Linked DNA regions of Drosophila melanogaster. Each later gene encodes a partner of the first gene's protein in a complex. Each region holds a gene or a part of one and is shown on either strand. Other genes may lie near its edges. The genes, in order: Nup153 and Nup58.

Evidence for each region.
Region 2: Nup153 (region 1) and Nup58 share a complex: the UniProt entries of both Drosophila melanogaster proteins name them as parts of the nuclear pore complex.

The regions. Positions count from the first base shown.
Region 1 is NC_004354.4:16,597,413-16,602,260, reverse strand, and holds the start of Nup153 (nucleoporin 153kD), read right to left. Parts: upstream 3,021-4,848; 5' UTR 2,622-3,020; exon of another isoform or gene 2,538-2,621; 5' UTR 2,107-2,537; coding exon 1,948-2,106; intron 1,882-1,947; coding exon 1,366-1,881; intron 1,308-1,365; coding exon 1,063-1,307; intron 886-1,062; coding exon 1-885. Other genes in the region: CG9784 (uncharacterized protein), read left to right, coding at 4,019-4,848. UniProt on the Drosophila melanogaster protein: Component of the nuclear pore complex (NPC), a complex required for the trafficking across the nuclear envelope. Functions as a scaffolding element in the nuclear phase of the NPC.
Region 2 is NT_033777.3:19,643,353-19,647,666, reverse strand, and holds Nup58 (nucleoporin 58kD), read right to left. Parts: upstream 2,642-4,314; 5' UTR 2,503-2,641; coding exon 1,579-2,502; intron 1,518-1,578; coding exon 801-1,517; 3' UTR 761-800; downstream 1-760. Other genes in the region: CG6195 (uncharacterized protein), read left to right, coding at 1-454, 536-697; Vha13 (vacuolar H[+] ATPase 13kD subunit), read left to right, coding at 3,380-3,461, 3,829-3,929, 3,989-4,159. UniProt on the Drosophila melanogaster protein: Component of the nuclear pore complex, a complex required for the trafficking across the nuclear membrane. Together with Nup54, required for transposable element silencing regulation in ovarian follicle cells.

The DNA.
Region 1 (4,848 bases):
CCGGTACCGGGTTTCTTACTGCCACCTTGGCCCACAGATGTCTCCGCAAGACTGCCGGAGTCTGAAGGTCGCATATCTACCGCTTTCATACCGTATCCAATACCACCAGTCATGGAAGCATGCAGCTGATGCGCCGGTGAGCTGCCGGCAGAATTGAGTCCCAACATTGAGGATGCGGCGGATGAGCTAAGATTGCTGCGACTGAAGAGGCGATTGTTGCCGGAATTGCCCCCGAAGGTGGTGCGTCCCTGGTAAAAGGGCGAGCTAGAGGCAGATGCAGAGCCTGAGTTAGAGGCACTGCCACTAAGCAGACGACTGTCGCTCAGTGCCGACGTACTGCCGTATATGGACGCATTGAAGCGACGTCGTTGGGTAAGGGAATTCAGCGACCACGTAGAATTCCGATGCGATTGCTGTGCGGCGGTGTTGCTTCTGTTAAATATTGACTTGGAGCTCTGCAGATTTCCGTAAAATTCTAAATTGCTGTTGCTGTTGTAATGCGACGGACGAAGTCCGTCGTGCCCTTCACCATTGTCGTGGTATTCGTTCATATCGCTCTCGGACTGCGAATCACCGCAACCTCCTGCGGCCGCAGACAGTTCACTTCGTCTTGTTTTTGTCTCAATGACATTGTTGTTGTTATTATTATTATTATTATTGTTGCTAGTATTGTTGTTGGTCCTGCTTATTCTCAGCAAATGATTGAGATGTTCTTCCGAACTCATGGCCGGGCCAGTCCCCGTCTCATCCATGGTAAGATCGCGTCGATGGGTTTGCTTGCCTATGAGCGATGGTCGCTTGTGGTTAGGAAGGCTGGATAGGCTGTTGTTGTAGCTGGTAGCGGTGCTGCTGCCTCCGAAAGGTATGTTCAGTGAACGGCGGATGCTAAAATGATTTAAATGATTGCCTTATAATTTTCACTAAGGTTTTCTTCTTTTTCGTCTTGGCAATAGCCTGGCTATGCAACGCCCAAATTTGAGTTTGTTTGAAACGAGCTCTAAGGTAGTTATCTTTTTGAATTCCATATTAACACTTTTAGTAAGCATGACTGCAGTAACATACCTGTGTGGCAGATCCCCGGTGCTTCCCTCGGCAGCTTCGTTGCCCGTGAAAAAGTTGTACGCGGGTTCGCGCTGCCGTTGACTACCATACAAATTGAGGTGATTGCGCCGATGTGGCGCAATGTGGCTGACGCCCTTGTACATCTGGGAGCTGGAGGAGCTGGTGGCAGCCGCGAGCGGAGCAGCAGGCGTGGATGACAAAAGGGGCAGACGACGCATGTTCGGCAAATTGACGGGGGTCTCCAGCTGAAAGGGATTCAAGATTAGTTGGGAAATGTAGACAGGATTGAAGATGTGATCTTACCTCCAGGCGTCGACGCTTGGTCTGCACGGCGGCGGACTGTTGGAGATTCTCCTGCTCTTCATCGTCATCCTCCTCATCGCCATCCTCGTCGTCCTCTTCCAGTTCATCCTCCTCGGCCTCATCCTCGTCACCGCCGGCAGCTGCAACAGCCCCGGCTCGCTTGCGCAGCAGGAACACATTGTACTCGCTCCGCCGCGTCTGTTCATCCTCGGCGGCCAGGTCGTGTTCGGCTATGTTGTCGGCCAGGGCCACCTCCTCATAGTTGAGGCCTTTGGCATCGGAGCCGTCATCAAGATCATCGGCTGCATCGGCATCCACTTCGGCTAGCATTATCCGACGGCGTCCTCGTTTCCGCTTGGTAGTGAGGCGTCCATTGGACTGGCGTGGCTGTGACTGGCGGAGATTAGCTGGGGAGGATAAGGCATCGTTCCCATCTTTGGACGACGGCGAAAACCAACCGCTCAAGGAGGCGGGCAGAATGCTGGACACGCGCATCTTCATCTTCCCCATGATGGACTGCAATTGCAATTGCACGGAAGTTGGATATTTGATGGGAACCAAGTTATCGTCGACTGTACTTACGTTGTTGCTGTCAGACTCCCGTAGGGCTCCCGCCGAGGATTCATCCTCTTCCTCCTCCTCCTCCTCGCTTTCTTCAGGCAGCTCCTTGAGCGGCGTCAGCGGATGCTTTTTGGCCAATTCGGCTTGCGAGGATTCCCTTTGCTCCTGTGCATCCTCCATTATGCCGCTTTAGATTCAGACTCACCTTTTTAGCCGGCGAAGCAACGGCACAAAAGAGAGATGCAAAAAAAACGCGAAAAAGAAGCGTTGCCGCACACACAACAAAAAACGTAAGTAAAAAAAAAAACCAAAAAAAAAGCACACACTGTTGCAATTCCTGCGAGCTAGTTTGTATGTGTAGGTGCGGATAATGTTCGCTCACTCGCTTCGTTCTCACTCTCTATCCTGCCTTCTCTCTCTGTCTGTGCGTGTGCAAAGGTGTGAGTGCGCTTACGCACGCCGTCGTGGTTTTTTTTGTTCGCGTTTCGCCGAGGTTTTACACACGCCGCGATATTTTTAAATAATATTCTGTTTGGCGCCACAAACTGGTCGCGTTTGATCAGGATTTGACTTCTTGGCCACCAATGAAGAGCAAATTCTGGGCACAAGCACTGCAAAATTAGAGGCGGGAAAAAGGATTGAATACCGAATTCGGGCGAAGCGCTCGAGGTTCTTGCTTTTGGCTTTGCCCTTACCGCTTTCCAGCATGCCGCCCGTTTTCTTCAATATTTGTTTTACTTTTGCCGGATAGATTTGATATATATTTGATATATTTTCACCTTCCTTTTGTCTTTGTGCTTCTTCCACTTCTTCCGCACACACTGCTTTCGCAATTCTTCGTTCCTCTTCTTCACGCTCTGCTCACACACACACGCGCGCAGCGATTCGGTACGAATTTTGGCGTTTTACCGCCGCGAAATCCACACTTTTAATTGCAATTTAACATTTGCCGCTGGTCGCATTCAGGTTTTCCATTGTTGCACGAGAACACGCACCACCGATTTGCAAGAAACAGAATTTCAAAAGAGCACGATTTGATTGGGGAAAAAACGCGTGTGTGGCCACAAAGTAGAGCTGGAACCAAAATCGATGTTTGTCAGATACTATCGGCGTGTCGGGCAGCGTGTGCTAATCGATACGTTGCCTGCAGCTATCGGTTACATGCACGTTTACGGTTTGGAAGTCTGTAATTATTAAATATTTTTAATTGGTGATGAACTGCCATACGGGCTTATTACTCAAGAACCGCTTCAAGTGCGACTTATAACATATGTAACCATTTGCTTGTGTTGTCATTTGAATACTAAGCATTTGCATTGACTAAAAGGAATTCTCGTTTGTATCTTTAAGTTGGAGTGAGGTATTTGTTTAGGTTTTTACTTGGCTGTGTGATAATGCAAAAGTTTAAATACTGTACTAATGTTAATCGATAGTTGTCCTAAAAAGAATTTCCAGCGAGTTAAAATTCAGCGAGTGCTAGAGTGACCACAGATTCTGCATTAGAAATAAAGCAAATATAATAAACGAACATAATATGAGCGCCAAATATAAAAGCCCTTATTAAGGTGCAAATATGACAAAGAAATTATACAGTATAAATGTTAAATAAATCTTAAAAAATGGGTTATAGGGGAAACCATATTGTTTTGGTTCAATTTTAGCAAGCCATTTTAAAACAACTTGAATTTACTACTAGATGAATCAAATATGTTACCTCTTAACGTCTAAGAAATTTACATTTTTAGGGCTGGAAAATAAATACCGCTAGTCGATATCGTCATCTTCTCAGTTTTGCCATCCCTAGTTGTTGTTATTGTGTTCGTCGTGTTGTTGTAGCACAGTTGTTGTTGTTGCTGCTGCTGGGCAAACAAGTGTTAAAAACTATTTGTGCTGCAATATTTTCAGCAATTACCGACCGCCCTCGCCGCTGTTCACCACCCAACTTAACCAGCAACCCAGATTGGAGCAACAAAATCCACAAAGGCATAAAGAATCGACTTACACAATAAAACCTTAATCGGTTGGGTAAACAACTTGATTGCTGTGAGCAGCCAGTTGGGTTAATCTCTTCGATTTGTCAAGTCCAGCAACAATGAGCCAAACGGAGGCTAGCAAGACACCCAAGATTCCGGACTCGGAGCCGGACGGATCGAAGGGCAAAGGGAAGCAACAGCTGGAAACTTACCGGGTATATGTGGTCACCTGGAATGTGGGCAGTCGATTTCCGGATAACATATCCCTCCGCCATCTGCTGGGACTGCAGGATGTGACGGTGGATAAGGACACGAAGGAGACTAATGCCCACTTGCCGGACATCTATGCGTTGGGGCTCCAGGAGGTCAATGCCCAGCCGCAGCAACAGGTGTTGGGACTGTTCAAGGAGGATCCGTGGACGCACAAGGCTAAGGAACTGCTACGCAACTACGACTATGTGGCCGTAAAGACCGAGCAGATGCAGGGGCTGCTGCTCAGCATGTTCGTGAGGCGGCAGCACGTTGAGCACTTGCAGGACATCGAGGCGGAGTTCACGAGGACCGGTTTCGGTGGCATTTGGGGCAACAAGGGCGCCGTCAGTGTCAGGTTCACCCTTTACGGCTGCGGACTGGCCTTTGTGGTGGCCCATCTGACTGCCCATGACCATATGATGGACGAGCGCATCGAGGACTACAAGCAGATACTGGAGAACCATCACTACCACGTCAAGCGGTATAGGGAGATCTACGATCACGACTATGTCTTCTGGTTTGGCGATCTGAACTTCCGACTGCAGGGCAGCGATTCCTCGACGGAAGTGCGCGAGTTGGTACGCGATGAGTCCCAGCACGAGGCCCTTATCCAGCGGGATCAATTGTATCAAGTTCGCGAGAAGTCGCAGCTGGCCTTTCAGGTTCTGCAGGAGCGACTGCCCGCCTTTCCGCCCAC
Region 2 (4,314 bases), on another chromosome or scaffold:
GCGAGAGCTGGAGAGCGTGGGCATTCGTCTGAACAAGCGCAAGCCCAACATCTACTTCAAGCAGAAGAAGGGCGGCGGCCTGAGCTTCAACGCCACCTGTTCCCTTACGCGCTGCAACGAGAAAATGGTCCAGACCATCCTGCACTCCTTCAAGATCTTCAACGCCGAGGTGCTCTTCCGCGAAGACTGCACCGAGGACGAGTTCATCGACGTGGTCACCGCCAACCGTGTGTATCTGCCCTGTCTGTATGTCTACAACAAGATCGATCAGATCTCCATCGAGGAGGTGGACCGCTTGGCGCGCCAGCCAAACTCGATAGTGGTTAGTTGCAACATGAAACTTAATCTGGACTACATGATGGAGGCGCTCTGGGAAGCTCTCCAGCTCATCAGAGTGTACACAAAGAAGCCAGGCGCTCCTCCAGACTTTGACGATGGATTGATTCTGAGAAAGGCAAGAGACTGTTTTCCATTCATCCAATTCCTTCTTCAGCCTGGTAAAGCAACTCTAATTCCTTATATATTCCTTGTTTAGGGCGTCAGTGTGGAGCATGTGTGCCATGCCATCCATCGCACGCTGGCGGCGCAGTTCAAGTATGCCCTGGTGTGGGGCACCTCCACGAAATACTCGCCGCAGCGCGTGGGGATTGCCCATGTGATGGCCGACGAGGACGTCATCCAGGTGGTGAAGAAATAAAGATTGTTGCGTGTGAAATATATATTCTATGCTATAACTGAAAGTGAAAGTCTAGGCCCCTTTCGACATAACGATTTATTGAAACTTGTAAAGAGTGCCATTCTCAATTGCCTGTCGCATTGCTGGCGGAACTGGCCGCCGCTGCATAGGACTTGTTCATCAGAGCCGAGATGTTGGAGAAGGGCGTTGGACCGCTACTAATCCGTTGAGGTTCCACCGTCGGCAGCGGAGGATTGTCAATCCGCTCGAAAACGTTGGTGGTGTCTCGCAGGCGGTAGCGTCTGAGGTTTAGGTAGTGCTCCTTGTGCTCCTCCACCCGCTGATGCACCTCGTGGAGGCGTCCCGCCAGCGAGATGAAACTCTCATTAAGTTGGCGAAAGCCACGCTTTAGATCATCCGGCGAAATACTCTGCGGATTCGAGATCGCGTGCATGTGGCGCTCGGTCAGAGCGATCTGCTGGCGAAAGGCGATCAAATCCTGCTCGTACTTCGCCACCAGGCACTGAAAGTACTGGAACGGAGCATTGTTCTCGAACTGCAGGCCGGCTGGGGTGTCCTGCGTGCGTTGGGCCATCTCCAGAGATTGAATCGCCTTGACGGTCTCTTGGCGCATCAGGCGGATCTGCTGATTGCTGCCCTCAACTAAAGTGGCCATATTCTGCAGCGCCCATTTCAAGTTCGTGATCTCGTGGCTGACATTCGTGAATTTGGAGGTGGATGTCCGTCCAATGTCAGAGGAGATGGTCTTCTGCTGTTTGATATACGCTTTTAGGCCATCCACCGTTTTTATTATCTCGTCGGGCACTTGGGTTTCCTTAATCTGGAGTGGTCGAAAATAAAATGATTATTTTGTTTCTCTGTGAAAGACTCATGGTCAGCACCTTGATGCCATCTTGCTTATTGTCCCCCAGCTTTGGTTGCGTGGCGGTCACATCGATCCCCCCCAGACCCACGAAAGTCGATGCTGCCGGGGCAGCTGCCTGACCCGCTGGCTTGCTAAAGATTCCTCCTCCTCCTAGGGTTGTCGTCGCATTGGTGGTTCCCAGTTTCAGACCCGTGTTGAAGGGTTGTGCCGTCGCCGTCGTCGTGGTTGTGTTAAAGTTCAAGCTGGCCGCCGTGGTGGCCTGTGGCTTGGGGAAGGAAAACGATCCAATTCCGGAGCTGAGGGATGCTGGCATCGCAGCTGCCGCCGTTGTGGCGGTGGTGCCGAATCCAAAGGCCGGCGGCGCGGTGGTCGGCGCACTTGTGGCCGGGGTGGCAAAGGAGAAAGTGGGAGCCACAGTGCCCACGGCTGGTGCAGGTGCTCCGAAGGCCGATGCTTGCGTGGAAGCTGGCGCTCCAAACGCCGTTGTGGCTGCTGGTGCTCCAAAGGCGGATGTAGCGGCGGGTGCTCCAAAAGCGGGCGTGGCGGCGGGTGCTCCGAAAGCGGGAGTGGCAGCTGCAGCTCCAAAAGCGGGCGTAGCAGCTGGAGCTCCAAAAGCCGACGTTGCTGCTGGTATGCCAAAAGCGGGCGTGGCAGCAGCCGTTCCAAAAGCCGGCGCCGCAGTGGAAGTGGCGCCAAAACCAGGCGTGGACGCAGGTGCTCCAAAAGCCGGCGTAGCAGCTGGTGCCCCAAAGGCCGGTGTGGCCGCGGGAGCTGCAAACAAGGAGGTGGTGGCCGGAGCAGCACCGAAGGTTGGCGTAGAGGTGGCTGCTCCAAAGGATGGAGGCGGAGCAGTCGTCGTCGCCGGTCGCGCGCCAAAAGCAAAAGCGCCGGTAGCAGCAGTGGCGCCTCCAATGGCGTTGTTCGTGGTGGGCGTAAACATCTTTAGGCACCCCTCTTAAGGATTTATACAGGAATTTTAAACAATTAAACTATATTTACTGCAACAAATTTCGAAATTAATTTTGTTTAATGCCTGAGCATCTGTGGTTTAACTTCTAGGACAGAGATGACACTATCGGTGATATCGATAGCTAGTCAGCAGAGATTTATTCGGAAAAATATCAACAAAGTATTCAAATTGATTGAAATAAATACACTATGGCTAAAGATATATAAAGTATTTGCAGCTTCATATAGTTACGATTTGTGATTTTCAAATATTTAATTTTGGTCTGAGGTGTGGTGAGTTCGGTCCACTACAACATGGTTGTTATTTAATATCAAACGATAGCCTTCAGATATTAATATGAATAAATTATTTCAAAATTTAATCTTTATGTATTTCAATTTTAAAATAATATAAAGAATTTTTTACGAACTAATTTCTTACAATAGCTTTAAATACAGCCGGAACTATTACAGTGCGAAGCAGATTAAACGCTGCATTTAAATTAAAATGAATTAAAGTTTACAAAATTATAAAAGAAAAATATTCATGATGGGAATAAATGAGAAAGTTAATGCTTACAAAAACGTCAAATTATTTAATACTTCTGGCCAATACAATACCAAACAATAATATACAACTAAGCTAATCGATATGCAATCGACCGAGCCATCTCCAAGAGTTTCGCAGCACCCAGCTTTCCGGCACACTGCTTACCCACACCAACTAGCCACCGTGGTGAGTTTGCGTGTGTGTGACTTCGTCATATGACATTTTTCACAGTTCGTCGTCGATTGTGATTCTGTCGCACTTGCTTTTTTCGACTTGCACAGTATACACCACGGCGAGGAATTAGAGAAGTTTGGAAATTATGGCCAGCCAGACGCAGGGAATCCAGCAGTTGCTCGCTGCCGAGAAAAAGGCAGCCGAGAAGGTCGCCGAGGCTCGTAAACGTAAGTTTCATTTTCAGAAACAAAAATCCAATTGGAAATGGCAGGGCGACAAGTAACTGCGATTTTTTCACCACCCCGCCCCCGTGCTACCATAACCACCATCACCGTTGTGTGTGGGTCACATGATGTGGTGGAAAAAAGTAAATACAAGTCAATCCTCCATAACTCGAGATATAAATCAAATTAAACTAAATTAAATTAAATTAAATTAAATTAAAATTGTTTGTGGCCACTAAGACTGCAACTTAAGTGCAGTAAATAGTTTTTGTGCGAGTTGGCACTTTAAGTTATGGAAGGTCATCTTGCGGAGGGCTGATTTGCCAAGTTGAACTGATATGATCATCTGGATTTCTGGGTAATCCCGCAGGCAAGGCAAGGAGGTTGAAGCAAGCCAAGGACGAGGCTACCGAGGAGATCGAGAAGTTCCGCCAGGAGCGCGAGCGCGCCTTCAAGGAGTTCGAGGCCAAGGTAAGACGCCACATAGGGAAACTTATGTACATGTAATACCGTGTGAACCCCGATTACAGCACATGGGCAGTCGCGAGGGCGTGGCGGCCAAGATCGATGCGGATATCCGCGTTAAGCTGGCCGACATGGACCGGGCCATCCAGACCCGCAAGGACCCGTTCATCCTGGAGATCCTGCAGTACGTGTACAACATCTCGCCCGAGGTGCACAAAAACTACAACCACAAGTAAAGAGGTGGCCCCCCAAACTGTGCGCTGTAAATTCAATGTCCACGTTCAACTCTAATCCATAATTTAGACCCGTAATAATAGTGGTTAATCTAACTGGAAACACTGCTGTATTATTATTCCATACATTAAAGTGAAAATTCGTTGTTGTTCCATGT